Linked DNA regions of Anolis sagrei. The protein of the gene in region 1 interacts with the protein of each later gene in a biochemical or structural test. Links are inferred from orthologs where the notes say so. Each region holds a gene or a part of one and is shown on either strand. Other genes may lie near its edges.

Region 1 (7,775 bases):
CATTGCAGGAGATAGACAATAATTATGGTTATTTTAGAGAAATCTTGAACCAAACCTTAAAAGGGGATTGCTTCTTGTGGTGACCTAATTTGACATCTGGCAAATAGACTGCTTGGGGATTCATATACAGACTTGCAAAGCCTTTTTGATCAGGATTGACAGTGGACAAGAAAAAATATGCACATACCATGACAAATGTTCCCTCTCTTGAGGCCCTGTCCATTGTCCTTTTAAAAATGCCACCTCTCTTCAGATCACCTACATATGGCAGAAGTGACAAGTGGGGATTCTGGAGAATTGCTGCTGCTATTATCCTTACCATATTTTTTATTATACCAGCACTCAGATACTGTAAGTGCTGCTACTCTCACAGTTGCCATGTAACCAAATCTGAAACTAGTTCCAGGTTACTAAATAACACCTGATCATTCTATTTTCTGCCAGTTGTTTATTTTCTACACAACCACATAGGAGGGGGAAGATGCTTACAACACCCAGTCATATACAAATCACTACTCACCCAGATAAGACGTGGAAAAATATTCCAAAACTGTTTTTCATGCTTTATTTAATATGGATGTGTGTGCAATAGGTAAATTTTGGATGTGTTTTAAATGGGTGTTAGAGTACCAAATAATCTTATACCTATGTTCTATAACCTATAAACTTTTAATGTTCTTTTATGTTGAATCTAATGAATAAATAATGATTTGAAACTAGATGTACATCTGTTAAGACAAGCAATAGTTCTTTTGTGAATGAGACATAGCATCCTATACTTACACACTGAACAGGGAATAATACTAGATGTCCCATGAGGCCTCTTCCTATATGATGTTATGGCCTTGTGACATAAGGCTGGAGGCAAGCATTTGCCTTAAGTAGATAAACAAAATCTGGCTACCAGTTAAAAAAACACTAAAATTATAACAGCAAAACAACACCCAAACACAGGAAACTCCAGAGAGAAAACAATCAGGAACAACTAATCACCTCTCAACAAAAGATTTCCCCAGGCACTAAGAAGCCACACCAAAAAACTGCCAGGCCATGAAATGTTAATCAAGGTGGTCAGTTGAAACCTTCACACCTAGCTCCAACAGACAAGAGTTCTTTGTCCCACCCTGGACATTCCACAGATATATAAACCCAATTTTCCTAGTTCCAACAGACCTCACAACCTCTGAGGATGCTTGTCATAGATGCAGGCGAAACTTCAGGAGGAAATGCCTCTAGAACATAGCCATAAAGCCCGAAAAAACCTACAGCAACTCAATTCTACATACCTCAGCTTACTGCCAGGGTTTCATGGCTTGGAGGTATGGCAGTTAACATTGTCTTACATTAATACTATGGTGTAATGTTACTATCCCTGCTGTTTTTCACTAACAGAAAATGAACAGCAACTCTACAACAAGCTGAAAACAGGGCTATGATATAATTTGGAATTTTCACATGAATGTCCAAATAGACCAAAATGGTTTTGTTCCTTTTAATTTCTTGTTGAGGAAGAAACACATATTTTCAGCACAAAGAAATGGTTTTTTTTGGTATATGATATTTGAACCAGAGTACCATTTGAAATAAGATTTGTATTGTTGGACAGGCATATTCAAATCGCAATGGAAGGGGGAGAACCCTTTTTTAACACCAGTATTCTGTTACCAATATGAATATTTAAGATACCAACTTGTGTCCTACTAAAAAAAACAACCCTCATCCATGCTCTGTGTGTGATATAAATATATTTTGGAAAGAATGTTAATGCTTTAACTAGTCTGTTAACTCTGTTTGGATGGATTTGGTTACATTTATTTTACAAGGTTTTTTTAGAGCCATGCTCAATTTTTGAAAAAAAGTTGTAGATGATTACTTCTTAAATCTACTCACATGAATACACATTTCCATCATACCCCTCCAAGCTATGCTTCCCCTCCTCTCCCCCCTCTCCCATTTCCCCTCTGTCAGTAAACTCCAGTAGATTACTAGCATAAATCATTCTTCTCCATTTAGGAGATTCAGTATCATCTTCACAATATCCCTTCCACTGATGTAATCCAGAGATCAAGAGGTCAGTGATGGGTTTTCAAGTATTCTATTTGGTCTCTCTCACAGACTTAATACTTTTAAAAAGTAAACTTACATACTTAAGAACCAGGGATTGGAACTTTATAATAGCCAAAGTTCCCTGGAAGAGAATAAATGCCATTGGGAAATGTCTTCAAAGATTTACATAACCTCTACAAAATAAATTAACTCCAGCTCATTGCCTCTGCCAGTTGAAGTACTAGGGGAAGGACACTGTGTGTTTCTGAGATCCCAGTGTGAACTGTTTGTAATTGTCAACCAGCACAACTTTCAGGTAAAATTAAGCTTTCTTATTGCAGCCGTCCAGAGAAATTTCCTTAGGATATTGAACCAACTCTTCACATCTCTGCTCATGACCAGAGTTGGTCTCTGGTTGGTGAGAGAGAGCTGAGGCGAAACTCAAACTCTTGCTAAACTCTTGAGGGAAATTGTGTCAGTTCAAGAACTATATATCAGGGCTCTAAATCTCATTTCTTTCTGTTTTGGTGCATTTTCTCAATATTGGAACCTGTCTCCTTTCCACTTGCTTTCATAAGAAATGGTAGCCTGTTTTCTCATCATTACGTGCTTTCATTCCTTTTTTCTCTCAAAAAGTGAATGTGCTGAATACATATTCAGTATAGATTTTATGAGGCTCAGATACAGTGATTCAGCAGATGAAAGGATATTTCCTGGTAAATGAGGGTATGGAAACTACATTGTAGAACGAGTCCAGTTTGACATCACTTTAAATGTCATGGCTTAATGCTATGGAATCATGGGAGTTGCAGTTTAATGAAACAGTGGCAATATTTGGCAGAGAAGGCATCTGGAAAATTCCATAGTGTTAGATCAGGAAATCTGAAGGAGCTTTTGTGTACAACCAGGCACGGCTTAACCCATTATGCAAAGTAAGCATTTGCAGTATAGTTGATTTTGCCCAGGGGCGCTCTTGAGGTGCTCTTGGGGGAAAATAGACCTTGACATATGCGAGTTGTAGTTACTGGGATGTATAGTTCACCTAAAATCAAAGAGCATTCTGAACTCCACCAATGATAGAATTGAACCAAATATGGCACACAGAACTCCCACGACAAACAGAAAATATATATCAGTGATTGGTTGGGGGGGGGGGGGTGTGTGCCAAAATACTGTTTGCTTACCATTGAAAATTACCTAGGGCTGCCTCTGTGTACAACTTACCCTAAAACTTCAATGATGCAAATTCTTATCTGAGAGTTGAGCCCATTGGAACTCATTGTGCTTATTTCTGAATAGATATGATTTCTGCTTTGAAATTATTTTAAAAATGTCATACACACATTCACAAACATACATATGTATGTATGCATACATACACACACTGTGTGGGAAGATGATGCCCCAAGAAGCCAATTTAATTGTATGCATACATATTGAGAGGTTAATTTTTTCATAGTTAATACTTTAGGAGAGAAAAATCCTCCCAGTTCTTCTTGAAAAAGAAACATTGTTTTTTTTTCCCTTCAGATTATTCATATAATCTTTCTGACAATTGCCATTCTCCCCCCCTTCCCACCTTGCTTAGTCTACCACATTGGTATAGCTTAAAACATGGGGGAAATGGTGCAAAATCATGCAAAATGGTATCCTGGCTACCAACACAATTTTACTGTGTTTTGGTGCTTCTTACACTGCATCAAAACAGCAACAATTAAATAAACTACAAATAAAAGGGGTAGTATTGTTTCTAGTGCTCCCCACTTTTGGGGAAAGTGTTGGGGCAGTCAAACTCCTCCCTGATAAGTTTGGTGAAATTTGATGGATACCGCTCCCTCCCCTCTTCCTTCAATTATTCTGCTTCTGAATAGGATGGAGACTTTAGAGATGCACACTGTTGTAGATTTTAAACCAGTTCTTCAGCATTTTCACTTGAAGCTAAGCTTGATTTACTAAGTTCTTGTGGGTTTTTTTGGGCTATATGGCCATGTTGTAGAGGCATTTCTCCTGACGTTTCGCCTGCATCTATGGCAAGCATCCTCTGAGGATGCTTGCCATAGATGCAGGCGAAACGTCAGGAGAAATGCCTCTACAACATGGCCATATAGCCCAAAAAAACCCACAAGAACTTAGTGATTCCAGCCATGAAAGCCTTCGACAATACATTGAACATAAGCTTGATTTATTAGTGTACAGCACAATGCAAATACTAAGCATTAGTAGTGAGATGAAACAGAAGGCAATACTTATTGTAGGTGAGGTATTTTCACAAAGAAACATTTAGTGAATTGGTTTTTAATTTCAGCTCCAATCCCTTCCATATTTAAGGATAATACTCCAAGCCATGCAGTAAGACTTCTTAAGGATTTAGCACACTTTCAAAAGGCTTGGCAAAACAGGATTAGTCCCTTTCAAAGACACTGTCACATTTATTCGGTATAGACAGAGTTAACGTTAAGGACAATCCAAGTACTTTCAGGGGTTTCTGCTCCCCCCCCCCATTTTTTTTTTTTTTTTTTTTTTGCTTTTGCATTGCAGTTACCTTGTTGATGGTGCCTCCTTGCAAAACTCCCACATGAACCGAAGGTTCAGCAGTTACAGAGAAAACAAAGATTACTGATTAGAAAAGAACATAATCAGGTAGATTGACACTGTGTTGGAAGAAACCATTGCCCTGGAGAGGGGAGGGGAGGTTGACATTAGTATTCTCACAGGATAGTAGCTGAGACTTCTTTATCTTTGCTCTAACTGTTTACAAGTACATCAGAGAATGTAATGTTCCTGAAGGCAGCTAAAACAACTGTGCTATTTTCTGACTCTTGAAAATTGCACCGGTAGATGTGCAGGCATTATCTTCACAGTGTTAGAGAGGAACCAACTGGGAAATTAAAAAGAAGTGTGTGTGCGTGTGTGCTTGTGTGTGTGTGTATGTATACGAGCGAGAGCTTTCTCATGGAAGTACGAGCCAGGACATTCTTTGAAATATCTGGTGACTCATCTGGTAAGTCTTTTAAAATAAATAAATAAATACATAAAAACAATTCACCACTGTATATAAATATGACAAAGCCTAAATGGTGTTAACATTCTAACAGTGTCATTCCCTAAAGATAGCTTTTGGATCAGTTTGCCTCGTCTTCTGACAAGTTTGTCTTACTGCTGTATTCTGACCTTAAAAGGTAGCGTTCTAACAACTTAGAAACAAGGAGTGGAGGAAAGTCAAAAAGAAATATTGTTGTTTGAATAGAGTACTAATAGTAACATGGTTCTTGTACCGTGTGACTTCAATGTTAATTTTATTATAGAAACTGACTCTGAGAATATAATAATCATGAAACATAGAAGTTACTATAGCTCCTGGCAAACTTAACCCATAGAATCAGTGGTTTGGAAATTATTCTGCAGAACATTCAGTGTTTACACTAGCACAGTTAACCCAACAATTCTGTTTTGTATATATTACAGAATACTTATCTTAAAAGCTGAAGGCGTCGCAAATAAACAAAAGCTTATGTATGCTTATGCATTAATCCTTTTGAGTTTAGTATGGCTAAGTTCCAAGTAACTATGCATTATATGAAACATCGTTGTATAATTTACTAGAGTAGTAAAACAACTGGGTCACTGGGTTAAAAACCACATATGGGTCAGTTTGTTATTATTAGAGAATCAGAATGTATTATGTTCATTGTGAGCTGTGACTAGTGTTCTACAAGTATTGATATCTATTATATATGTCAAAGGATGCACAAAAGCATGCTATATGGATTAACAAGGGCATTTTATCAAACATATTGCTGATTGCTTTGTTTTAAAAAGACAGAACAGATGAGAGCAGTTTTAGTAACTGTAAATTGTAAGTGTTCCATTGTTTTCAATGGGACGCACATGTTCTTAGTCCTCTTACATTCTATATTACTTTCTTTTTTGTTGTGTGCCTAAGGCAAATCTATCATGGGGTTTTCTGTGGCTGAGAGTGAGTGATTCAGGGCCCTTTTACACTGGCCAAAATGCAAGTGGAATTAGTGTTTAAAACACTGATTCTTCCTGCATTTTTCAGCCACATGGGTCTGACACCTCACCTTTCTGTTGGGGAGGTGGCCAGATATCCACCTGTACTGATTCACAGAGTGGGATATAGCCGCCACTAACCCTCTCACCTCCCTACCCCACCCCATTTCATCCAAAAACATACCATAAAATACCAAGGCACAAGGCTTCTCCAGAGCTCCTGGCACATCAGAATGGGGTGGTACTGCCATTCCCTCTCCCTGGGGCAACAGAGGTAGGATGGCTGTGGGGACTACTTTTGGGATCACATATGGTGATCCACGAGGCCCATACCTAGAAAGATCCAGATCTTGCAATAAAGACAGATAGAATGTTTGTCAACCATACAAAACATACACACAGGAGGCTGTTCGTCCATTTAAAAATTATCATACATGTGTGCAGTGCACCTTTTATTCATGTGTACACCTATTTGTTTATTTGAAATATGTATATGTCACTTTTCTCTCAAGAAAGTCAAATGATTTTGATAGTTTGATAAAAGTAGAATCTAATATATAAAGGCTTATGTTACAATAACAGCTTTTCTTGCTTTTGAAATGCTAGAGGGTTGGTCTCAGACTAACATAGTTGGTGTTCTGGGAAACCTTGCAGAAAAAAATAATTTTAGCTGAATATTGTAGAAACTGGAGCTGCAATACAAACTTGAAAAGTGTATACAGCTTCTGTGAGTCCCACATCTGTAGTTGGAAGGACTGCTGTTATCTCGGCAGTGGTTCTCTATGCCTGGAGAGTGAATGTGAGGATGCCTTCTTTTTAAACCAAACTGTTAGAATGAAAATAAACTGAAGTGCTAGTGTCACAGTGAAATGAACAGATTATGAATGTCAAATGTACTGTACTATCGATGGTTGTTATATTTTAAAAGTCCCACTGCTATGGTGAAATAAAATGGCAGAGTTATTCTGAATTTCGTCTCAATCTTGGGACATAATAACTGTAAAAATCTTACTACATTTATGAAACATCATTCTAAAATATCAATTTACCACCATCTGGCCTCAGAGATTGTTGGATGGCTGCTCATTTAAAGATACATATAGTGATTTGGCACTGCCTGATACTAGTTAAACATGTGTTGCCATTATTGATCTATTAAACACCCTAATGTCACACCTCAGAGTAGGTTCACCTTCCTGAAAACACCAAACTGCACACAGCCAGAAGTCTTATAGTTTATTGAAAAGTAGAAGATAAAAAGTTCTTAAAAGCAAAAGTAATGTTCTAAAAGATCAATACAAAACAACACCTTGAAAGCATGATCCAAATAGGCACCAGCAAAGCAAAATCCCATGAGAACATGACTGAATCCTGAGACCATGAACTCAAGAACTGCAAGATAATCCAGACAAGCAAAATGCAAGCTTCTTGGTTAAACGAAAAGTAGCTCTGACAAAGGTTTGGTCCCAAACACTCTGCTTAATACCCTTTGCAAAACATGAAAAGCGTTTCTTTGGCCTCTGACCTCCTTCTTGTTAGTTATTCTCACACTCCTTCGAACTCTGAATTCCAAACTGTCAGCACGATCTAAGGTTCCCGCTTCATCAAGGTCAGTCTGTTCGTTAGTGCTATCCAGTTTGCCTTCCTGCTCATTATCAGGCTGAGAACTGTCCTCCTTTTCTGAGTCAACGTGCACCTGCACCTAGCTATTTTCAGCA
Region 2 (7,269 bases), on another chromosome or scaffold:
TAGCAAGCATAACCAGTGGTGAGGCCTCCTGGTAGCTGAAGTCCTACAATGTTTTGTGGACTTTTTGATTCCCAACTCTGCTGTGTAGTAAGCAAAGACATTGAAGCCTAACACTTTGTGAAGTCAAAAGAGAAACAAAGAAAGGGAATGTCTTGTTACCCTCTGGTTGAGACCTTTAATAATTGCAGATCGCTACAAGTCCTTTCAGGGAATGGAATGCAAATAAACTGTGACAGTCTCAGAATTAGAAGTTTAGTATCTATAAAACTTCCAGAGAGAGATAGTGGTAGAGTTACTTCTGGTCGTTTTTATAACCCCATCTCTCACAGGATATAAGCAAGTTTTACGCATTTACAAAAATGAGAGGTGACATGGAAGGAAATTGTTACTAGCCCTTCGTGCATCATCCGGCTTGGATTCTCGTAAGTGCGGATTTCCCCTCTCCTTGACCACGGACTGTTTCTGACAACGATGCTACCTTTGGGACTTTGGAATCTTCATCTGGGATTTCTTCAACTTGGGACTGTTTTTGGACGACAGCTTTTCTTCATGGCTCTTTGTTTTACCATTATCTTTGAACTGTGTGATTTTGGTGTGTTTTGAACTAACACTGGTTTAATCCGATTTTTTGCAAGTTTAATCCAGTTTATTTTCCAAGTTATTTATTTATTTTATTTACTTTATTTGTATACCGCACTCTCTCAGCCCATAGGCGACTCAGTGCGGTTTACAACCAAACCAATATACAAAGTGCACAACATTAGCAATTAAAACAGTAACTAAGGCAACTACATCAATATAACAATACATCAGTACATCAATCTAACATCAATACATCCATATAACTAATCCATCACGTCTCATCAGTAAAGTCATAATCTGATCTCCTCATCCATTATTCCAAGTTCCAAGATCAATCAATTAATTAAGTTCATTTTTTAAGCTGCAAGTTGCTGCAAACTTTGAGTTTTGACCAGAGACACTGAGGCAAGTGTCTCTGAGTCCTGTTTACTTTGATTTAATAAACTGTTGTTTTGAATACTTCCTTGTGTCTGGCTCTTTAAGGCATCTGGGTTCCGGCAGATAGTGTACATTGAATTTTTTAGTTCTTAGGTAGCTAATTCTCTAAAATACTGTTTCAAAATGTTTCAAAGCCTTTTGAGTATCAAACAAAATAAGCAAGCAAGCAGGCAAAGTAAATCCAGTTGTTAGTCTTGCCTTCAGTTAAACTGTCTCTGAACTGAAGTTTGGTACAGTGTACATTTCCAGGTGACCGAAGCAAGCTCAAAAGCAAGCTCCACTGCAGCTGATTTTATATGTGGTAGGTTTGTATCAGATTGCAGCCTTACTCAGTAGTTCAGGATTAATATCTATCATTTGTGGCAGGTATATCTAATTGGAATATTGTACTAGATTCGTAAACATTTGACAAAGTCTTTCCCAACTTGTCATCAAAGTGTCTGGGCCATGTTTCCATTTGAAATTCCAAACTGATTGCTCTCAGAAAGGACAAGCAACAACCAGACCTAACTCAACACAAAACCATGGTAGATGCCTCGAGATGCCACATAACATTCTTAGTTATTGTCAGGATGGCAGCAGCAACTTGTCGAGTCAAAAGGCAAAATTCCAAAAAGTTTGTTTTAGAAATAAAAAGGGGACATTATAAATCTGGGAAATCATGCCCCCGGTGGTACAGTGGATTAAACCCTTGTGCTGGCAGGACTGAAGACCGACAGATCACAGGTTCGAATTCAGGGAAAACATGGATGAGCTACCTCTGTAAGCCCCAGCTCCCCGTGCAGAGACATGAGAGAAACCTCCCACAAGGATCGTAAAGCATCAGAATATCCGGGTGTCTCCTGGGCAACATCCTTGCAGAAGGCCAATTCTCTCAAACCAGAAGCGACTTGCAGTTTCTCAAGTCTCTCCTGAGATGAAAAAAAAATCCTGCTGGGTGCCCCAAAAGTTGAAAGAGTTTATCTAAGCATCATAACAGTTTGGGAATTTTTTTGTTTAATAATCTTTATTTAATTTTTAAAGAGTACATTAAAAATAGTATAGCATAAAAATATGGTGGTCTTTAAATAAAGAAAGTTATATAGAGTTAAAGATACAGATAAAGATTCGTGTGGGATATGATAAAAGGGAATTGGAGGGTGGGGGGGGGGGGGTAGAAAGATATGACAAAATGGCAGTGTGAAAAGATACAAAGATTAGCTGATAATAAGTGGGAAGTAGGAAGATATATAGAAAGATAGCATTGAAAAAACAGATAAGAACGTAGATGTCTTGGTTTCCCAGTGTTTTGTCTGAGGTTCTCTCCATTTCCTTTCTTTTCCTTTTACTTACTTGTTTTTTCTCTTTCTCCCTCCCTTCATTTTTCCCATTTCTTTCTCTTGTCTAAATAAGTTTGGGAAATAATTTTAATGGGCTAACAAAGAGGAGTGACCTCTCTAAGATACGACTGTTAAGATTCGTAAAGCAGGGGAATAATTGGGAAAACAGGAAAGGGCTAAAAGACTGCCACTCAGATTCCCGAACTTAAAGGAGGGTCTGGAAAATATCTTTCCTAAGTGAGATTTGTGAGGTGAAATGGGTGGCCAAGAAATAAAAATAGATTCAGTGGATGATTAGTTGCAGATCCAGACTGCAATAGGCACATTCCCCATGGCAAGAACATCAGAACAGCCCTGTTAGATCAGGACAAATCTCTCCCAATCTGCCATTCTGATCTCAGAATGGGAATATCTATAGGAAGTCCACCAGCAGAACACAATTGCTCTAGGACATTAATGGTTGTGTTCCCTCATAAATGAACGTACTGAAAGGCATGCCTCTTCTGAAAGTAATAGCCATTGTTGTCCTCCATTATTTTTTTTATAATCCTTCCTAAAAACGATCAATGTTAGCGGCCATGACTATCTTTTAATGTTGAATTCCACAGCTTCCCTTTACATGGTATAAAGGTACTTGCCCTCAGTCTCAACTATTCAGTTTAATTGGAATAATCTAGGATTTTAGCATGAGAAAAGGAAGACATATTCTTCTCCCCTTTCTCCCCATGCAGAATAGGCACACTTAGTCATTAGCTAATATTAGATTTGGCAGCAGTATTAGATTTCAGCTACCTCTTTCTTGGAAATCGGCTTGGCATCATTCCCTGATGTTTCTGTACCAGCCTGTTTTTCTAAATCCATTAATAATTTTTCTTAAAGTGCTATGGAGAAGACAAGATATCTATAAAGCTTACATTTTTTTCAGCTTTCCCAAAAGCGAATTACAGTATTCTTACATGACTTTAAGTAAGATTAGACAAATGTATAGCAGGTAGATCTACCAAAAGCTAGTAACACTAATTACTAAAAATTACGAGTGTAGACATACATTGAATCCAAGTGCTTGATTGTATTAAAACCTTCTGATAGCTTCAGAATATAATCCAAAAGACAAAATAATAATTAGTTCAAGAACTTACTAGATTTGCAGGTAAGCAGATTTATGCCACTAGTTTCCACATAGTATATGGAGGGAATGCCCCTTCGGAGATTGTGAATGCAGTGTCTTAATGCTGCTGATACAATGCAATTCTAAATGTTATTATAACTGCAGTTTTAAGTAACGCTTTCATGGAAATAAATTTCATTGACATATAGGGCTCTTACAAACAGGCATGTTTATTTATTTAGGTGTTCTTGTCTCTCTTTCCAAGAGAGAATGCCCTCAAAAAAGTGCTTTGGGATCCAGATGTAGATAGATGCTGTTCATTTTGGTAATACGGATGTTCCAATTGTGACATAGAGTGGGTGTTGCTCTTTTCACTCAGCTCTGGGATTCTCTATATGCTCAGTGATGTAGAGCACATAATTACGCATGTTCTTAAGGCCGGGTAGCTCCTGTCCTCTGTTGCCGCAGGCTCTCAGGAATGTCACTTGCAGAACATTCCTTTCCTGGGCAGCCAAGTTTGGAAGCTAGTTTATTCCTGGCTGCAAAACTGCAGTAATGCCTGAATGAGAGACATGGCAGGAGGGCTTCAATTTCTGCCTGTACCCAAACACCAAGGAGAAGCAGTGAGAGCGTCTTCTTTCATCTTGCCGAGACAGGTAACAACAACCGCAGAAGCAGCAGCTGTCTGGGGCTCTCCAAAGGAGGGAAAGTGAGGGAGGTGGAGTAACAGGGGGTGGGGGAGAGAAGAGAAAGGGAGTGGATCTGAGTGCTTGTGATTGGTAAGCCTCATGAAGGCATCTGCCAGCAGGACTTCAGAGGAATGTGAAACCAAATCATTTACAAGTTAAAGATAGAACCAAGAGTACATAGCATCTTGGGCACTAGTTTCAACTTAGTCTCTTGAAGACTGTTGCCTTGGGAGTTTTCTTTTCACTGCCTCCAAGGCACCTCAGTTTTTATTCTATCAGACTCTCATTTAGTGTTTTGGAATAACTAGGAGTGTGTAAGAAGATCATGGTGCATGCTGCAGGGTAAGTAACAAGCTTCATTTGAACTCCTTATTTCTTTTACCATGCTTGTTCAGCTTCTGGTCTGAACGTTACAGGGAGGCATGCCTACAGGTAATGTTCCCTGTTTGCCCCTTCAGAGTGCATGCCTCAGCGAATTGGCATTATACAACTTTTCTTGTTGTGGCATGCATGAAGACATATTTAGATTGAAAGCAGTGTTTCTTTCCTGCTAGATTTATTTTGCCCTAATGGTGTGCTAAATCTTTTTGTTTCAATTGCAGAATGAAAAGCACTTCGGCCATAGTAAATTTAGGAGCAAATTCGTATTTCTGTGTATATAGCATAGTAGCAGGCTATCCTAGATGCATCTTAGTGCCTCCTGTTATTCTATTCTGATTCTGGCACTGGTTCTGTGTAGCTTGGGAACACAAATAGATTTTTGTATCCCCAAGCTTCAGTTTGGCTTTTTTGGCAGGGTATTTCACTGTGGACTGTTTAGTTTTTTTGTCTGTGCATTTATGCTCCATTAGAAATATGCAGTAATCAAGAGTGATCTTTTGGTTAATTGAACAAAAGTAAGCAAGTGCTTGTTTATTAGATGAGTCTACTTATCTTCATTTGAATTGTAACATTACGTCCAGCTATTTATGTGTATATTCCAGTGAGGTTGGTAGATCTTTTGGAAGAAAATACTTACGTTATTTACATGTGAGAAAGAGATTTAATGGAATTATTTTAAAAACAATATTATTTAAAAAATGACACAGAGGAAGGAAGGATCCAGGCATATTATTTACTTCCTTGCCAAAATGAAATGTAATGCATAGGCTGTGCTTTACTTCATTGGTGTTTGTTAAATATTGGTCTCCTATGAAGTCATTTGTAGCTTGCACTTTTATTATGGTGTAAAATATTTCCTCCACTCCATTAATAATATTACATTTTTGAAATTTTATCTGTAACAAGGCTTTTTGCACTAGCTGTAGGAGGCAAAATGTTTTTTTTTATGGAGATATAAAATTACTGTTCCTCTGCTTGCATTTTAGAGAGCTCTTAAATTTCACAAAGATATCTTCAACTTGAAAATATGAGGAGAAACACTTGGCTACAACTCAAATCATTTTTGAACAGAAAATCTTCTGCACCTGACATTCTGTTCCTTTTCTTTGATAACTAATTCCATAAGTCACAGTGCTCAAGAGAATTGGGAGGAGGAGTGTATAAATAGCAAAAATAAAACTGAATATATGCAGTCGTTGCTTTTCCCCTGGTGACCATGACCGAGAGGAAGTAGAAATAATTTGCAAGAACAAAATGCAAAATGGAGGGGAGGAATGTGGGGATTATAATGTGCTGAATGGGATCTTAACTTAATACTTCTAATCTTCAGATTTTTGTGTACTGCTGTATGTATAATCATAGTATTTTAAGCTTTGTGACTCACAAAGTAGACTGAACAACCCCAACCTGGTCAGCCATTAGGCTACTTAGTGAACGGGTACAGTTCCAATTTTAGAAGTGGACGGGGCAGTGTTGGCACTATACCTTGTTGTAAAGTCAAGTTGGGAACAAATACTTTTGAAATTGGTCTGGGTCAGGTGCTTGTAGCTTTTCAATTCTAGGCATAACTTAGTAATTTAAATATGCATATTCTTAGAATCTAGAAAACTCTGTAAGAGATTTATACTAAACTGTTAAAACATGTATTTAGGGCATAGCCCAGCCAAAATTAATCCCTTTTATACTGAAGCTCTATGCACATGAACCTGGAAATAAGCAATGTTGAAAATATTTGTCTTTATTTCCTAACTAAACATCCATAGGATTGCATTATTATTCCCACTCATTTCAGAGCTAAACAGATGTTTAACTCTTATTCATATCAGTGGAACATTCATCTGTGTTGTAGCTGGATTTTGCCAGAAGATTTTGCTCATACTTAAATGTATACTCTCCTTTCCTTCTGTGTATAACATACATAGGGAAACAGTACTTGAGCATACTCACATCTAGTGAAAAGTCACTCTGTAAGATTTCCTGGTTTCCTCTAATAGAGGATGATGTATGTGTCATGTATGTGCATATGGGATAGAGCAAATAGAGCAATGAGACTTTCTCAGGCCCCTTCCACACAGCTGAATAAAATCCCACGATATCTGCTTTGAATTGGAATATATGTCATTGTGTACTCAGATAACCCAGTTTCTGCCTTGATATTCTGGGTTATATGACTGTGTGGAGGGGCCCTCAGTCATTGGTGTCCAAATCCTGGTAAAGCCTTTCCAGAGCAGTATGCCTACCTACATTCCTTTGCAATGTTAGGTCAGTAGTGAAGATTTCTATTGAACCATACTTTTAATTAAATGTTTTGACTACATCCAGACAAGTTCCTACTGCTAGCAATAAAAAAGACATTATTCAGCTGTACTATCAATCCCTTTTTGACAGAAAAAAAGATAAAAGGGCAGGAAAACACATCAGGGTTATAAATGGAAGATACCTGAAACACCCTTCCCCCCAGCTCTGTGAATGAAGAGAAACAATTACACCATAAAGGTTTTATTTGGAAGTATCCTACTTCTTTTACAGTGTTTCAAACGGATGCTGCTTTTGTAATGTAATCATTTATTGTGTGTTAAAATCCATGGATTTTCTGGTTTAGCTAATCACATTCAAGCCACCTTGAATGTAGTTTGTTGTTTATATAACAACAACAGCCACAACAATAGATAATCATTTTCCTATACTGTATGACCACCATATCCATAGGGGATACATTTCTGGACTTAACAAAGTTAGTGAAAATAATCAA

The links. The genes of interacting proteins can lie anywhere in the genome.
Region 2: the proteins of DMD (region 1) and DTNA form a complex in vitro, tested with the Homo sapiens proteins (3 studies listed by BioGRID and IntAct, with this or other methods). The link is inferred for Anolis sagrei from reciprocal best matches to the Homo sapiens genes DMD and DTNA.

What each region holds. Positions count from the first base shown.
Region 1 is NC_090023.1:81,688,189-81,695,963, forward strand, and holds the start of DMD (dystrophin), read left to right. Parts: upstream 1-4,760; 5' UTR 4,761-4,884; coding exon 4,885-5,047; intron 5,048-7,775. UniProt on the Homo sapiens protein: Anchors the extracellular matrix to the cytoskeleton via F-actin. Ligand for dystroglycan.
Region 2 is NC_090024.1:54,070,310-54,077,578, reverse strand, and holds the start of DTNA (dystrobrevin alpha), read left to right. Parts: upstream 1-4,252; 5' UTR 4,253-4,461; coding exon 4,462-4,478; intron 4,479-7,269. UniProt on the Homo sapiens protein: May be involved in the formation and stability of synapses as well as being involved in the clustering of nicotinic acetylcholine receptors.